2 linked regions of the Tamandua tetradactyla genome follow. The protein of the gene in region 2 interacts with the protein of the main gene of each other region in a biochemical or structural test. Links are inferred from orthologs where the notes say so. Each region holds a gene or a part of one and is shown on either strand. Other genes may lie near its edges.

Region 1 (7,215 bases), on a different chromosome or scaffold from region 2:
AGCAGATATATTTTCCCTCAGGGAAGTTCTTCCTCTTTGGGAAACTATGGCAGCCTCCATCTTCTGAGAGGCAGCATGTACACAATGGACATTTGGAGTTTGAGGCAGAGGAAAGCACTAAGGTACAACCTTCCTGTAAGATTGGCTGAGTCAGGTTTGCCACATGGGGGACAACTGCAGTTTGTACAGCCACAAGAGTGACAAGACACATGAACTTGTGTCAGAAAGTTATCCTGAATGAATCCTGGCCAGAAAGGAAGAGGCATGCCCAGATATTTCTGGGAGCCTGGAGAGTTGGGGATTGAGGGCCTGTCCTAGGAATTCTGGGGATTGAAGTCAGCATGAAAGCACTTGAGGCTATTTACCTTCACCCCTACTTAATGAACAGTGTTCTAGTTTGCTAGCTGCTGGAATGCAATATACCAGAAACAGAATGGCATTTAAAAAGGGGAATTTAATAAGTTGCTAGTTTACAGTTCTACGGCTGAGAAAATGTCCCAATTAAACAAGTCTATAGGAATGTCCAAGTGAGAAGGCACATGGCGAACACAGTCAGGGCTTCTCTTTCAGCTGGAAGGGCACATGGTGAACATGTTAGTTTTCTCTCCTGGCTTCTGGTTTCATGAAGCTCCCCAGGAGGCGTTTTCCTTCTTCATCTCTAAAGGCTTGTGGATTCTCTGCTTCGTGGTGTAGCATTCTCTGCTCTCTTTGAATCTCCTTCATTCTCCAAAATGTTTCCTCTTTTATAGGACTCCAGAAACTTCTCAAGACCCACCCAAATGGGTGGAAACATGTCATCATCTAATCCAGTTTAACAACCACTCTTGATTACATCACATCTCCAGGGAGATGATCTGATTACAGTTTCAAACATACAGTATTGAATTGGGATTATTCTGCCTTTATGAAATGGGATTTTGATTAAAACATGGCTTTTCTAGCAGACATACATCCTTTCAAACCAGCACAAACAGTAATATTTAAAATTCCATGTTCTGAGATAATATTTTAATTTACTCATGCTACCAGAATGCAATATACCAGAAATGGGTTGTCTTTTATAAAGGGGATTTATTAAATTATGTTTACAGTTCTAAGGCTTAAAAAATGTCCAAACTAAGGCATCCAAAGAAATACATCTTGACTTCAAAGAAAGGCCAGTCTCTCATATGGGAAGGCATGTGGCTGGTGTCTGCTGGTCTGTGCTCCTGGTTCCATTGTTTCCAGCTCCTAATTCCAGTGGCTTCTTCTCTAAGCATATGTGGCCCTTCACTTAGCTCTGCTGGGGAAAACCTCTGGATTTTATCTTTTAGCTTAGCATCTTATGGGAAGGCACAAGGTGACATCCCCTGGGCTCTGCATTTCCAAATGCCTGCGTGTAGGCATTTCCTCTCTGTTGGCACTCCAAGCATCTCTCCTCTATGTCTGTGTCTATATCAGCTCTTTTAAGGACTCTAATAAATTAATCAACACCCATTTTGAATGGGTGGAGTTAATCCCCATCTGTTCTAGTTTGCTAGCTGCTGGAATGCATTACACCAGAAATGGAACGGCTTTTAAAAAGGGGAATTAAATAAGTTACAACTTTATAGTTCTAAGTCTGAGAAAATGTCCCAATTAAAACAAGTCTATAGAAATGTCCAATTTAAGGCATCCAGGGAAAGATACCTTGGTTTAAGAAGGCTGATGACGTTCAATGTTTCTTTCTCCGTTGGAAGGGTACATGATGAACATGGTGGCATTTGCTATCTTTTTTGTGGCTCTACAAAAAGAGACTCTCACCAAAATGTTTCCTCTTTTAAAGGATTCCAGTAAGCTACTCCACCTTCAATGGGTGGAGACACACCTCCATGGAAATCATCTAATCAAAAGTTAATATCCACAATTGGGTAGGTCACATCTCCATGGAAACAATCAAAATGGTCCCATCCAGCAATACTGAATGAGGATTAAAGGGCATGGCTTTTCTGGGGTCCACCACAGATTCAAACTGGCACAACATCTAATCAAAAGGCCATACCCACAATTGGGTGTGCCACATCTCCACAGAAGTAGTCTAATCAAAAGATCACATCCACAATTGGGCGTGCCATATCTTCATGGAAACAACCTAATCAAAAGGTCCCATCCTACAATGTTGAAATCAGGATTAGAAGAACAAGGCTTTTCTCAGGTACATAACAGTTTCAAACTAGCATAGACAACTAAATGCAATACCCGGCCCTAGAACGAATCTTGCAATGGAGGGGGGAAATGTTATAAAGGACATTATCAGATCATCTGACAAAATTGGAATATAGACGTAGTTTACATACACATATTTTATCAATAAAATTCAAGAATCTGAATACTGTACTGTGGTTATTGAGATAATATCCCTATTCTTTGGAAAGACCCATCAGAGTACATAGGGGTAAAGGGTCATAGTGTATGGATCATACCCACAAAAGGCTCAGAAAAGGTACATACATGTATAGACGTATAGATGTACTTTTCATCCATTTATAAAATTTCCTGTCCATCAAGTTTTCTGACAGGTAGGCAAAAATTGCTAATTGGCGCCTTCAGCCAAGTCGTAAATTTCAAAGCTTGTGTGCTTGAAAGAAGTGAGCCAAAATCTTGTTTTCTCTTCTTTTCCTTATTCTTTAATTTCCTTTTGAGTCTTTTGCCTATGATATTATTCTTCGTGTTTCTTTTTCCCAGGAAGCTAAGATCCTTACACAGCATCTCCCCTGGTTTTCATCTTAAGGGTTTTATAGGGAGGGAATCAGAGGAAGGCTCGTTTCAGTTACAGGAAAGGTTGGCCTTTCTATTGATTTCATCTGAGCATCTTGGGGAAAAAACATTGCTAGAAAGAAGGAATGATTCCGAAGTGCTTCTGAAGGGCTTTGCCACAATAGAGGACTTTGAATCCTTGCTCTGCAGTTCACTAGCCACGAGACCTTCAGGCAAATCACACTGTTTACAAGTCTGTATAGTGGGTATTTCTCAAGGAGCAACCACAGAAGGCAAGGGTGGGGAATAGGTAAGAGGATTAATGAATGTTTGGCATACACTACATACTCCATAAAGGTAAGTTACTGTAGCTAGTTTTATAACATCAAAGCCCAGAAAGGCATAATTATTATTATCCTATTTGTATTATAATTTTGACTCCACAGTAGTAAGGACAATAGTTTCCATTAATTCAGGGCATTGTTCCTGCTAGTCACTGTAAGTTAAAGTTTTACCTCCTCTCTGCCCCAGGACATCATTCTCAGCGGGGGTTCTTATTTAACCATTTCAAAGATAATGACACTGAGCCTGACCGGCATTCAGGAAGTATCTGCAGGGCCTTCCCATACTCACAAGCACAGGGGAAAACTTTGGCTAGAGAGGTGAAGGCCCCAGACCTGGCTGCCTATGAGCTCACACTGGACGACCAGGTTCCTTTTCCCGGGCCGGGGGATCACCAGCCCCAAGACAGAGTTCGGAAAGCCGCAGTTCCATCGGTCTAGTTTTTCTGACGCGCCCCGGGATAAAAGTTTTGGACGTTACAGAGTTTCAAATCGCTTGCAATTGCCTTTTGGAGCAGATCGGATTTGTCTCTTGCCTGGGCTCCCCGGGTCCCGCTCCCGCCCGCGGACCTGGACTCCCAGGCGCGCCCATCTGCAGCTGCCTTTCCCATCGCGCTCCGCCCGGGACAGGCACTGCGTGGACACCGCTGCCAGAGCCTCGGGGAAAGAGGCTGGCCCGCTGCGGCCGCCTCCCCGGCTCGGCCCGGGCAGCCCTGCGTGCCACGCCCTGGGCCGAGACCGCGGCTCCTCCCGCGGTGGCCGCCGCCAAGCGGTCCGGGCTGCGGCGGCGGCGGCGGGAGGCGGAGCAGGAAAGGCGGCTGGGGGAGGAGGCGGGGGCGGGGCGGGCGAGGCTGGGAGAGTTTAAAGCCCATCCAGGGGGGCGGGGAGGCAGGGAGGGAGGAAGGAAGGGAAGAGAGCGGGCGCGGGGCCGCAGGCAGCTGGGCTGGGCGGAGGGTGCGCGCCGGGGCGGGCGGGGACCGTGCTCGGCCAGCGGAGAGCCGGAGGCAGCAGCGTCGGCACAGGCGGCGTCGGAATCCCAAAGTTTGCGCGCAACCTACCCGCGGCGGCGGCGGGAGCTCGCGGACCCGCCCGGGGTGACCGTTCTGCGCGCCGTGCCCCGGACCGGGCGAAGTGTCGCCGGCAGCCCCGCGGAGACGACCCCGGGGCCGGCTCCCGCAGCAGGTACGGAGCGGCTGGGCCGCGCGCCGAGAAGTTGGTCGGGAGCACGGCGGGGAAGTTACTTTTGTCGCTGGGCGCCCGCCGCTGGAGGCCCGGGCACGCCGGCGGCCTGGAGGGTCCCCGCGCGCCGGAGCGGCCGGTCGCGGTCATTGTCTGCGTGCTGGCCGGCCGCGGCCAGAGACGGTGGGCGCCCCGGGACGGCGGGCGGGGCGCGGCGGAAGGGCGTCGCCTGCGAGCCGGGCGCTTTGTCGCCCCAAGCCCCAGCCCGAGGAATTCGAAGGCTGGCTGTGGGGATGCGGGCGAGCGCGCTGCGGAGCTGGCGGGGCGCGCTGCCCAGGGCTCTCCCGACTCCTTTCCCGACCCCTGGGGGGAGATGTTGAGCTCAAACGGTGCATTCTTGAACCATCTTGTCAGACGCGAGCTGCTCGCCGGTGGGGGTGGGGACCACTGTCCCCTGTCCCCGGGGGAGCCGCTCCGGGACGCGCTGGGCACCGAGGCGCTGCTGGAACCTCCTCTCCTCTTTTTTCCAACTGTGTACGGAGCCGCGCGACTCCAGCGGCCGGGGCAGCCCGGGGCGATCCGTGCCTGGACATTCTCAAGTCCAAAGCGCGGCCAGCCTCCGGGCTCCAGCCCGAAGGCGATTGTTTTCTGGTTTGGGGGTTTTGTTAATAACCGCGTTACCCACTGCTGGGCCTAACATCAAGTTGAGGGCCCGCGGCTTAGCCGCCCCGCCAGCCGTGGAAATGTGATAAGAGCGGTACCGTTTGTAGAAGGAAATTTCTGATGCAATGCTCCGCCTTTTCTGATGGCGTCTCCAAATGCCTGGCCTGCCTGGTGAGAGTACTTGAGCATGTGCGTTATGGAAATTAGTGTATTCTTTACTTTTTAATTTTGTTTTTCTTTTCTTGGGATTGGAAGAAACGCGAAGAACTTTTTGCCGTTTGCCTTGCGTGAAACCTTGGGTAATGTGGGGGAGCCACAGGTAACTTTTACAAGGTCCTGTATCTTTATGATGCACCAAAATCATATGATGCAAAAAAATAATGTTTTGTTGCAACCGTGGTACCCAGTCTCATTCAAGAGATGCAAGGAAAAGACCAAAACAACTAGTGCTCGTGAGTAAATCTGCGTTATTGCACAACTTTTCTCTTTGCTGCTGTTTTAAGAGGCCTGGCCCAGAACACTTTGTTTCTGAAAATGCTGATTCAGCCGTTTGGAGCCCCTGTGTTTCAGACATGGTGCTGCATTTAAAATTTCGCTCAGTTTTACTAAGAACACATGTTGTGAGTGCATGGACTAGAGTTTACAGCACAATACTAGTAATTTTTTATAGGAATGAACCTAGAGACCCTCTCCTGCCCCACCCCCACCCCTGACCCCCACCCCCGGAGGAAAAATAGGTAGAACCTAGGTTTCAGTAGCAGGAAAAGTTCTGGCCTCAAGGCTGTTAGAAAATATCTTTTGGGGGAGTATTTTATTTAGGCAAAACCCTGAAACCTAAGGTATCTCCAGGAATGATTCTAGATGCTTGGCTTTTTCTATTAAAAATCAGAGCTCTAGGATTACTGCACATAATAATTGAGTTTCACCGGGAGCACTTGAAAGAGAAGGGTCACACAGGGCAATCCCCAGATTACAGGGAGGGAATTTGAGGACAGACAGAGTTACACACCCAGCAGGCTTTGCTTGTGTAACTGAGAAGTATAGAGACTGATACTTCTGTAGCAGTTTGCAGTTTACAAGTACACTTTCAAAAGCCTGCTGCCTATAATTCCCTCCTCAGCCCTCCTGATCCTCATTTTGCAGGTATGGGAACAAAGTCTCAGGAGGTTAAGCCATATACCTAAGTTGCAGGGCCAGCAAATGACAGAGCTGTCAACAGACCCTGAGCTGTGGCATCTTTTTAGTCCTGTGGGTTTTATGCTTTTACACAGGTATGTCCACCTCTGGAGCAGAAATGGCAGGGAGGAGGTAGCTTGGTCAGTCACACACAAGGAGAACTAGAAGGACCCATGGCCAGCATTTTGTCCAGCAGCTCCCAGTAGTCAAAATTTCTGCTCTGTTATCATACCATCAGTATTTTCTTCTAATCGGTTCGCTTAATACTCTTAGATACACATTTATATTCGGCAGAAACTTTGATACCCATGAAGTTGTGAGTTTGATATAGTAGTTATGTTTATTTGAATTAAAACAGAAAAGCTGTATAACTTTCAGGTCTTCTGTTGTGTGTCACTGCTGGTATGTACCGCTTTTGGGGCCGCCCTGGACTGGTCAAAACACTTTTCATTTTGTGGGCCAGGGCCCCCCAGGCTGGGTAGTTTCTTGTCAGTTATTGAACAGGACTTTGCTCTGATGGTGGGTCCAGGATTAGAACCTAGGGCAGCCCTGGTCCAGTTATAGTGACCTGTGTTGTGCCGGACTCCATCGGAAGAGAAGAGCAAAGTCAGAATCTGAGAGCAAGCTCAGGATATTGGATTTCCATGATCCGCCCAGATCTGAGATTTTACAATGTATAGAAATCATATTCCTGCTAGAACAAAGACATCTATTGTGCCATCAGCTTCATCACAGAGCTATAAAATTCTTAGTTTGTATATCTGATAAAACCTAATGCTTTAAAGGTGTTATAATTTAACCTGTTTCCTTGGAATTCTGTCCAGCTCTTAGCTGCCGTGGGAAGAGAAAGCCTACACAATGATAGAATGTATTTTTAGTTTGTATTAAAATTAGTTTGCCAGACTGTCAAAACTCTGAAAACTCACTACAGGGATTTCTGTACTTGCTTTGTGCCTGCTGGGAAGGATGCGTGTGCATTTGCACGTTTGCTGTCGTTAAACCAACACGGAATTGCATGGGCTCATGAGAAAATATGTGCCTTGTCTTTCATGTAAAGAGTCAGTCGTATGTTCAGAGTGTAAACAGACTTTTTCTACTAGTGGAGGTTACCTTTTTTCTCTGAATATTTTACTTTTTTATT
Region 2 (7,309 bases):
GTGAGCCGTCAGGGGAAGTGATGGAAATCACAAGCCAGACCTGGTAAGCAGAGTAGTGGGTGAAAGGTGAAGGTCTGAAGGCAGCCGGGGCCCACCAGGAGGGACTTGGCCAGGCCAGCAGGAGAGGTTAGCGGTGGGCAGTGGGGTTCGAGAGAGTATTGAAGAGAGAAAGGCTCGTGGGCAGATGGAAGGCGCTGGATGGAAAGAGCAGGAACCCCAGTAGGAGTCTTAGACAAAGAAAAGTTAACTCCTCTAATGCAGGGGGGCTCTTGACTTGGGACAATTTTGCCTTCCACCCCTCGGGAGGACATCTGGCAATGTTTGGAGACATTTTTTATTGTAAAGGCTGGGGATAGGCGTTGGTGCTGCTGGCATCTAATGGATAGAGGCCAGGGAGGCTGGTCCACACCCTACAATGCACTGGACAGCCCCCTCTGCCACCCACCCCACGACTAAGAATTATCTGGTCCTAAATGTCAAGAATATTAGGCTGAGAAATCCTACTCCAACTGAAGAGGACATGGAAATCAACACAGGGACCTTAGGAAGCGTCCCCATGGTCTCTATGAGTGAGTGGGGCAGGAGACAGTGGAAGGTCTCCAGGAGTGAAGCAAAGATCTGGAATAACCACTCCAAGGGTGCAGGGGATGTCCCGGAACATCTTTCACTACCAAACACCCAAGAGAAGCAGCTCATGACGGTCCCTCATTACAGAGTAGCTGAGAAGTGAGGAGTATCTGAGAAACAAGCGTCTCACACCTCGATTACTATGGAAAGCTCTGAAGGTTTTCACTTTAATCAATACCATGGCACCTTAATTCTCTTAAATCTTAATTCTCTTAGTTAAGACTTCTTAATTCTTAATTCTCTTCCTGCAATGCTGGCAAGTAATCTTGGTTAGAACCATCCAATCCAAATGGCAATAGCGGAAAAAAAGCCACCACCCAGCTCAGTGCAGCAACAACTCCTCGGAAAACCTGGGGCGCTGCAGTTCCACTGACACCTCTGAGAAAGAGTCCTTCCTTCCTTAAAAATCACATTAGATTGGGTGATCTGCCCCACCCCAGTCAAAATGTCATCTTGGCCGACTTTAGAAATTAATGCTCTGGAAAGTTTCTTGCCCCCCCCCCTCACCCACCCAAGCTTTCAAGGGGGTTCAGCTCTCGTTTATTTGAAAGAATAATGTTTTGTTCAACATTATCCCAGGGCAGAAGTGGGGGAGGCTTGGACCCACAACAGGAACTAGTTAAGGAAAGAACAGCCGTTAGTTAAGAAACCCATGCCCTGGGGCCGGACCAGTCTGAGTTCTAATCGTGGCTCTGCCACTTGCTTTTTCAGTGGTTCTCAGCAAATCATCCCCACAAGGGAATGAAAAACCTTACCTCACCAGCAGCAGTGAGAATTGACTGAGATTATACATGCAAAGCATGGAGCACTGTGCCTTGCATGTGCTTACTCTTAGAACTGGTAGTTAGTATAACCAGGAGGAGAAGGAGCTCCTCAACCCAACTACAAAGGAGCTTCGCACTGTGCCTAGTCCCACTGAGGAATAAATATTTACTGAACATCTACCACGCGCCGGGCACAGATGAAACAGACAAAAGCCCCTGCCCCAGTGGATCCCCATGGAAGCTGTAAATACATAAGCAGCTGACCCCTGGAAGCCCAAGGCACAGAACAACTGCAAGGAACAGAAGAGTAGGGAACCACACATATGCAGGCTGTGCACATTATGCATGCCCGCGAGAAGCCTGGCATGGGTTTAACAACTCATCTTGGATTTTTCGTACCAAGAACTCAAACCAACTGCCACCCTTCACTGAGCACCTACTGCATCCCTGACCTTTGGGGACTCCCAGACATTAAGTGGCAGAGCTGCTCAACAAACCTGGTTGGCCAACTCCAAAGCCTATGCTTTCTCATCCACCTCATTCAACACCGAGTACACTTAGGAGATTCTTCTGTTCCTTCCCTCCCAGACCCCTTCTTCATCCATGATCAATTTCCTTTTATGGAAAAATCTGAAGCAACCTCAGATATTTTTAAAGCAGGGCTTCAGACCCCATGGTGGGAAATTAGATTTATGTCCTCAAATGATTCTTCAGTCCCAGTCTCAAAAAGTAGACAATATCAGGCATGAGAAGGATACTGGGGCTGGGGTTGCTTCTGTCTGCTCCAGGCATAGGGACACCTGGAGGGGGGTGTGAGAGGCTCACCCAAGGCCAGAGATTTCCCTCCCCCCCAAAAAAGACTGCAGGTAGAGAGCCCTTTATGAGGGGTAGATCTGGGGGCGGGAGGAGTTGGGGGAGACATGGGTGGTGGGGAAAGAGTCCCCAGCCTTGGGAGGGAAGCTGGCAGAGAGGGGTTCGAGTCCCAGCCCAGGTTCCTACTCTGAGAACAACAGTTATCAGTCTCCAGGGGCCACCGTGAGGGTCCAGAGAGATAAGATGGGCCAGCCCGTGGCATAGGGTGATACTAATTAGAAGAATCTTGATAAAAACTGCCACTACTCCTGTTGCAACTGCAGCCGGTTCTTAGAATTTGCCTCCTCACATCTGGAAGGAGTGTAACTAGAACCCAAAAGTGTAACTAGGGACCTGTAAAATGTAGCCACCGGCCCAGACTCTAGGAAGTGAGAAAGGGAAAGTCCTCCAATTAATTCCCCCACCCCCGCCTCGGGCAGTGACACCCACCAGCGGGGACCCCAAGGGACCTCCCGGCCCGGCACCCCGGGATTTGGCTCCAAACTCAAAACACTCGGCCGTCCGAGGCCGCCCAAACCCTGTGACCCCGAGGGGTCGGGGCCACCCGAAGACGCGGCGCGTCCAGCCTCCCGGGCGCCTTGGGCAAGCAGGGGGGCCAGGCTCGGGTCCGAGGTGTGCGCTGGGGAGAGGCGCCCACGGCGGGGCGGGCACTGGGGGAAGGTGCCTCCCCAGCAGGGCTCGCAACAGCGGGGCGCGGGGCCGCGAGCCCAGGCGGGCGAAGGCCAAGGTCAGCGGCCTCCAGCCCCCCGCGGGGCCGTCCGGGCCACCCGCGCGTCCCCCGCCCCCGGGGACACCCGGTGCCCCGCGGGGGCGGCTCCTTTGGGGGCGGTGAGGGCCCCTCCGCCCGCCCCGGCGCCCCCAGACTCACCGTCTCCGGGATACAGGTGGCCCGCGGCGCCCAGCAGCAGCGCGGCCACGGCCAGCAGCAGCGGCGCGCCCGCCGATCCCCGCCCGGCCCCTGCGCCCATCGCCGCGGGAGCGCGGGGTCCTGCTGCGGTTCAGAGCGCGCGGCGCCGGCCCGCGGGGTGCATGCTCCGAGACGGCCCGCCCGGGAGGCGCCGGGGCCCGCGCGTCCTTCTCTCCCACGCCGGCGGCCCGCGGGCAGCGGCACCCGCCCCGGGAGGGCCCTGGAAACCGCCCCGGGAGGGGCGAGCGCGGGCCTCGGCCGCTCCGAAGACCAGGCGCCCCGGCTCCCCGCCCTCCAGGCCACTCGGGTCCCGGCCCCGCGCTCGGGGTGGGGCTGGGGGGTTCTCGGGGCGCGGACTTCCACGCGGCACCTTCGGCCAAGAGCGTTCTGGGCCCCGCCGTCGGCGGACGCGCGGACGGACAGAGGGACGCGCGGGCGGGCACCTGGGCTGGCGGACGGCGGGAGCGAGGGCTGCTCGGGGCCCGTAAACAACGCGGCCGTCAGCTGGGCCCCGTGCGGGCCGCGGGAAAAGGCGGCGCGGATCCGGCCGCGGAAGGGACGGGGCGCCCGGGAGAGGGGGGCGGAGGCCGCGAAGGGGGAGGGCCCGGCCCGCCCCGCCCTGGCCCGCCCCCGGCAGCCCGCCCTCTTCGGGGCCCCGCGCGGCAGGGCCCGGGCGCGCCCCAACCGAGAGGGCGCCCTGACCCACCCCCCGCACCCTGCTCCAGCCTCGGCGCCCCCCACGGCCCAGAGATTCCAGGGACAAAGTGTGGGCAGGAAGGGGAGCGGGGGGGAGGTGCCCCTCGGATGCTGTCTTTCTTTAAAAGCGTGGATTTTTTTTTTTTTTTTTTTTTTGGTTTTTTCAGCAGTGCATTAAATCCCATTTGTCTCTGTTACTCGTTTTTGTTTTTTGTTTTGGTCACTCCCTTAAATTGTGCAGCCCAAGCGAGCACCTCCCTCGTTGCGCCCGCCCGCGCGACGCTTGTCCCTGCGCGCTCGTGTGCCCCAAATCCACCCCCGGCTCCTGCAACCTGCGCAGTAGGGCGCTCGGGACTGCAGGCCTCGCGCGCCCCCCTGCCCCGCGGCGGATGCCCCGGCAGGCCCCAGGGGACGGCCACGTGCCTGCGCGCCCCGTGCGCTCCGCGTACTCCGTGTCCCCTGCGCCTCGGCGCGGCCTCTGGCTCAAGTTGGACACCTATGACTCAAGTTGGACAAATGACACCTGGGACAATGTGTGTAGGCTCCTAACACAACAGTCCGGGTGCCTAAAGGCCCCAGACAAGGACGCAGGTGGACACCCCCAATTTTCAACATGCAGACCCGAAGTCCATGTGTATCTGAGTGTTTCGCAAGGTTTTTCACCGAGGGGACAAGGCAATGGCCAACCCACCCTCCTGAAGGAGAGGGAGGTCGGCTTGCAGATAGGAAAGCCCAAGCAGACTGGGAATCCGGCTCACCCCTTCATGCAATGGGAGACCTCGGACGGGGGACAATCTCTGGGTCTGGTATGATGGGTTTGTGGATACCTGCATGCCAAGTTAGCCGAGACACAAGGGGAAGCACCCAGCCCAACCCTAGGCCCAGGACATTCATTCTTCCCGTCGTTTATTAAACAAATATTAATTTGTCAATGGCTGGGCCCACAGTTATTCCCAAATGCCAACGTCACATCTCCTTGCCAGGCTGCTTCTTCTATAACGCTTTCCCAGGTGCTCCACATCTCTGCTCCAGAGAGCATGCCCTGACTACGCGCTGCAAATGCTCCCTTCACCCTCATCTCTCTGTTCCCTTCCCCTGTTATTTTCATGGCTGGTTATCTCTACCTGGCATTCTTATTTATTGTTTGGTATATCTTCTCCCCCCGCCATTTTTTTTTTTTTTTTTTACTGCCACCTCCACCCCTAGTGCCCGACATATCTGTTGATTAATCAATATTTCTTTTTTTTTTTTTTTTTTTTTTTTTTTTTTTTAAAGGAAAGACAGAGAGAAGGAGGGAAGGATAGAAGGAAGGAAGGAAGGAAGGAAGGGAAACATCTTTTAAACATTTTCTTGTTTTATTGTATTCTGTTTCTCCGTTTTTGTTACATGGGCTGGGGCCGGGAATCGAACCGAGGTCCTCCGGCATAGCAGGCAAGCACTTTGCCCGCTGAGCCACCGCGGCCCGCCTAATCAATATTTCTTGAAAGGAAGAATCAACAAATAATAAGTAAGCGGGATTGCCAGTGAACAAAATTATAGTCCATTTCCTTGTAGACCTCACAGTTTAGTAAGAGAGCATTAATTAAACAATTATGCGTTTTCGTGGGAGTGGGGAGTCTTCACTCAGAGAAAGATTCCATGAGAAAGTGATATTTCAGCTGAAATCTGCAGATGAGAAGGAGCCAGCCAAAAGTGATGAGAAAAGCCAATCATTTGCTACCTGGAAAAGTGTTTTGGGCACAGGGAACAGCATGTGCAAGTGCCCAGTGGAGACAGAGCAGACAGTCTAGCAAATAAGCCAAGCACTATAGCTGGAGCACAGAAAGGGAAGAGAAGATGCTGGAATGGTAGGCAGGTACTAGAAGGGACAAAACTTCATATATGCCATGTAAAGAGTGTGTTACATTTCACCCCCTTGGGGACGGTTTTACACATAAGGTTGACATAATCAAATTTTCTTTCCAATAATATCTCATTGTCTTCACTGGGGCAAGAGTGGACCCAGGGAGAACATGGAGGAGGCAGCTGCAGACCAGGTATCAAGAATTGTAGGCTGCCTCAATACCAGTCCCCTTCTTTCCTTGTGCAAATCTGCTCCCACAGGAAACCCAAAGACTGCCACAATTCTGGCCGGGTAGCATGTACTAAAAAAGCCCGAAAGATTGATGCAGGACTTCCATGCTGGAAATAAAATCAAAAGAATCATTTCAGCTGTGACTTGCTGGGAGAAAATTAAGACATCATCACTCCCCCCAACCACTCATTGTTTCTTTTGCAAAAATGAAAGCATCTAAAAATTGGAACTTCAAGACCATCTTCTGCCTTTATTAAAACCATGGCTGTAGAAGTAGAAAATCACCTTTAGCAATGTGTATATTCATTGATTCATGCAATACCCCTCAGTGGATGCTTGAAACTAATGAGGAAAACTTTGAGGGGAACGGGATGTTTACATCACTCTCAAGGTACTTGTCAATAACAAAGGGAAGGAGAAAATTGTCACTTCACAGTGGAGAAACCTAGGAGATGCTACATTCATCAAGTGATCAAAGTTGATCCTGGGTTTCCTTTGCAGTGAAAGATAATTTGGACAATTGCAGAAGACTGAAAAAAATCTGCCAATTGGTGAACAGGATTGTTTGAATGTTAATTTCCTCATTATGCTAAAGTGATGTAAGAAAATGTCCTCAGTTATAGAAGTAGATGCTGAACTATGTAGCACACGTGAAGGAACATAATGTCTGAAACTTGACACTCAGATGGTTCAGAAAAAGAAAAAGAGAGAAAACAAAGCAGAGGTGATCCAATTGGTGTAGCTAATAAAGCGAGCACTCAGGAATTCAGTGTACCATTCTTGCAATTTTTCTGGGAGTCTGACTGTGTTGAAATAAAGGAAAAGAGTTTTGGAAACCGTTGGAGGTTTTTTTTAGTTGTTGTTTTACTTTGTTTTTGTTAGGTTTGCTTCAGTTTCAGCACTTCCACACACTGTACTCTGAATGCTCCAAGAAGAGAGAGACCATTTCACAAAGGCGCCAGATCTGACACCTACAAACTTTGTGCTCAGATATTGCACTCATATTGCCCCTCAAGGAGTAGTTGGGGAAATCTACTGCCACACTGCTGGGGTCTTGCTTTAGCAAGACCCCTTGGCACCATCTCCCTCAATGGAGCTGTTTTCCTTTTCATTAAAGCGGGAAAATAAATGCAAACACTCACCCTTATGTTGATATGGAAACCTGCTTAACTCCATTACATTTAGGAGAGGAAAAAGAAAAGACAACAAAGATCTGATCTCATTTGTAAGCGACAGTGCAATACCCCAGAATTGACCAATAGAACAAGACAGAAGCTTCAAAGAACTCAATGCCAATACCAGATTTGAGAACTCAGACCGGGACTGCAGAGATGATTCAAAATTAGGAAATCTATTCATAGAGTTCAC

The links.
Region 1: the proteins of INSR (region 2) and GRB10 form a complex in vitro, tested with the Homo sapiens proteins (5 studies listed by BioGRID and IntAct). The link is inferred for Tamandua tetradactyla from reciprocal best matches to the Homo sapiens genes INSR and GRB10.

Annotation. Positions count from the first base shown.
Region 1 is NC_135327.1:73,042,518-73,049,732, reverse strand, and holds the start of GRB10 (growth factor receptor-bound protein 10), read left to right. Parts: upstream 1-4,143; 5' UTR 4,144-4,238; intron 4,239-4,510; exon of another isoform or gene 4,511-5,087; intron 5,088-7,215.
Region 2 is NC_135337.1:83,573,105-83,580,413, forward strand, and holds the start of INSR (insulin receptor), read right to left. Parts: upstream 3,259-7,309; 5' UTR 3,233-3,258; coding exon 3,133-3,232; intron 1-3,132. UniProt on the Homo sapiens protein: Receptor tyrosine kinase which mediates the pleiotropic actions of insulin.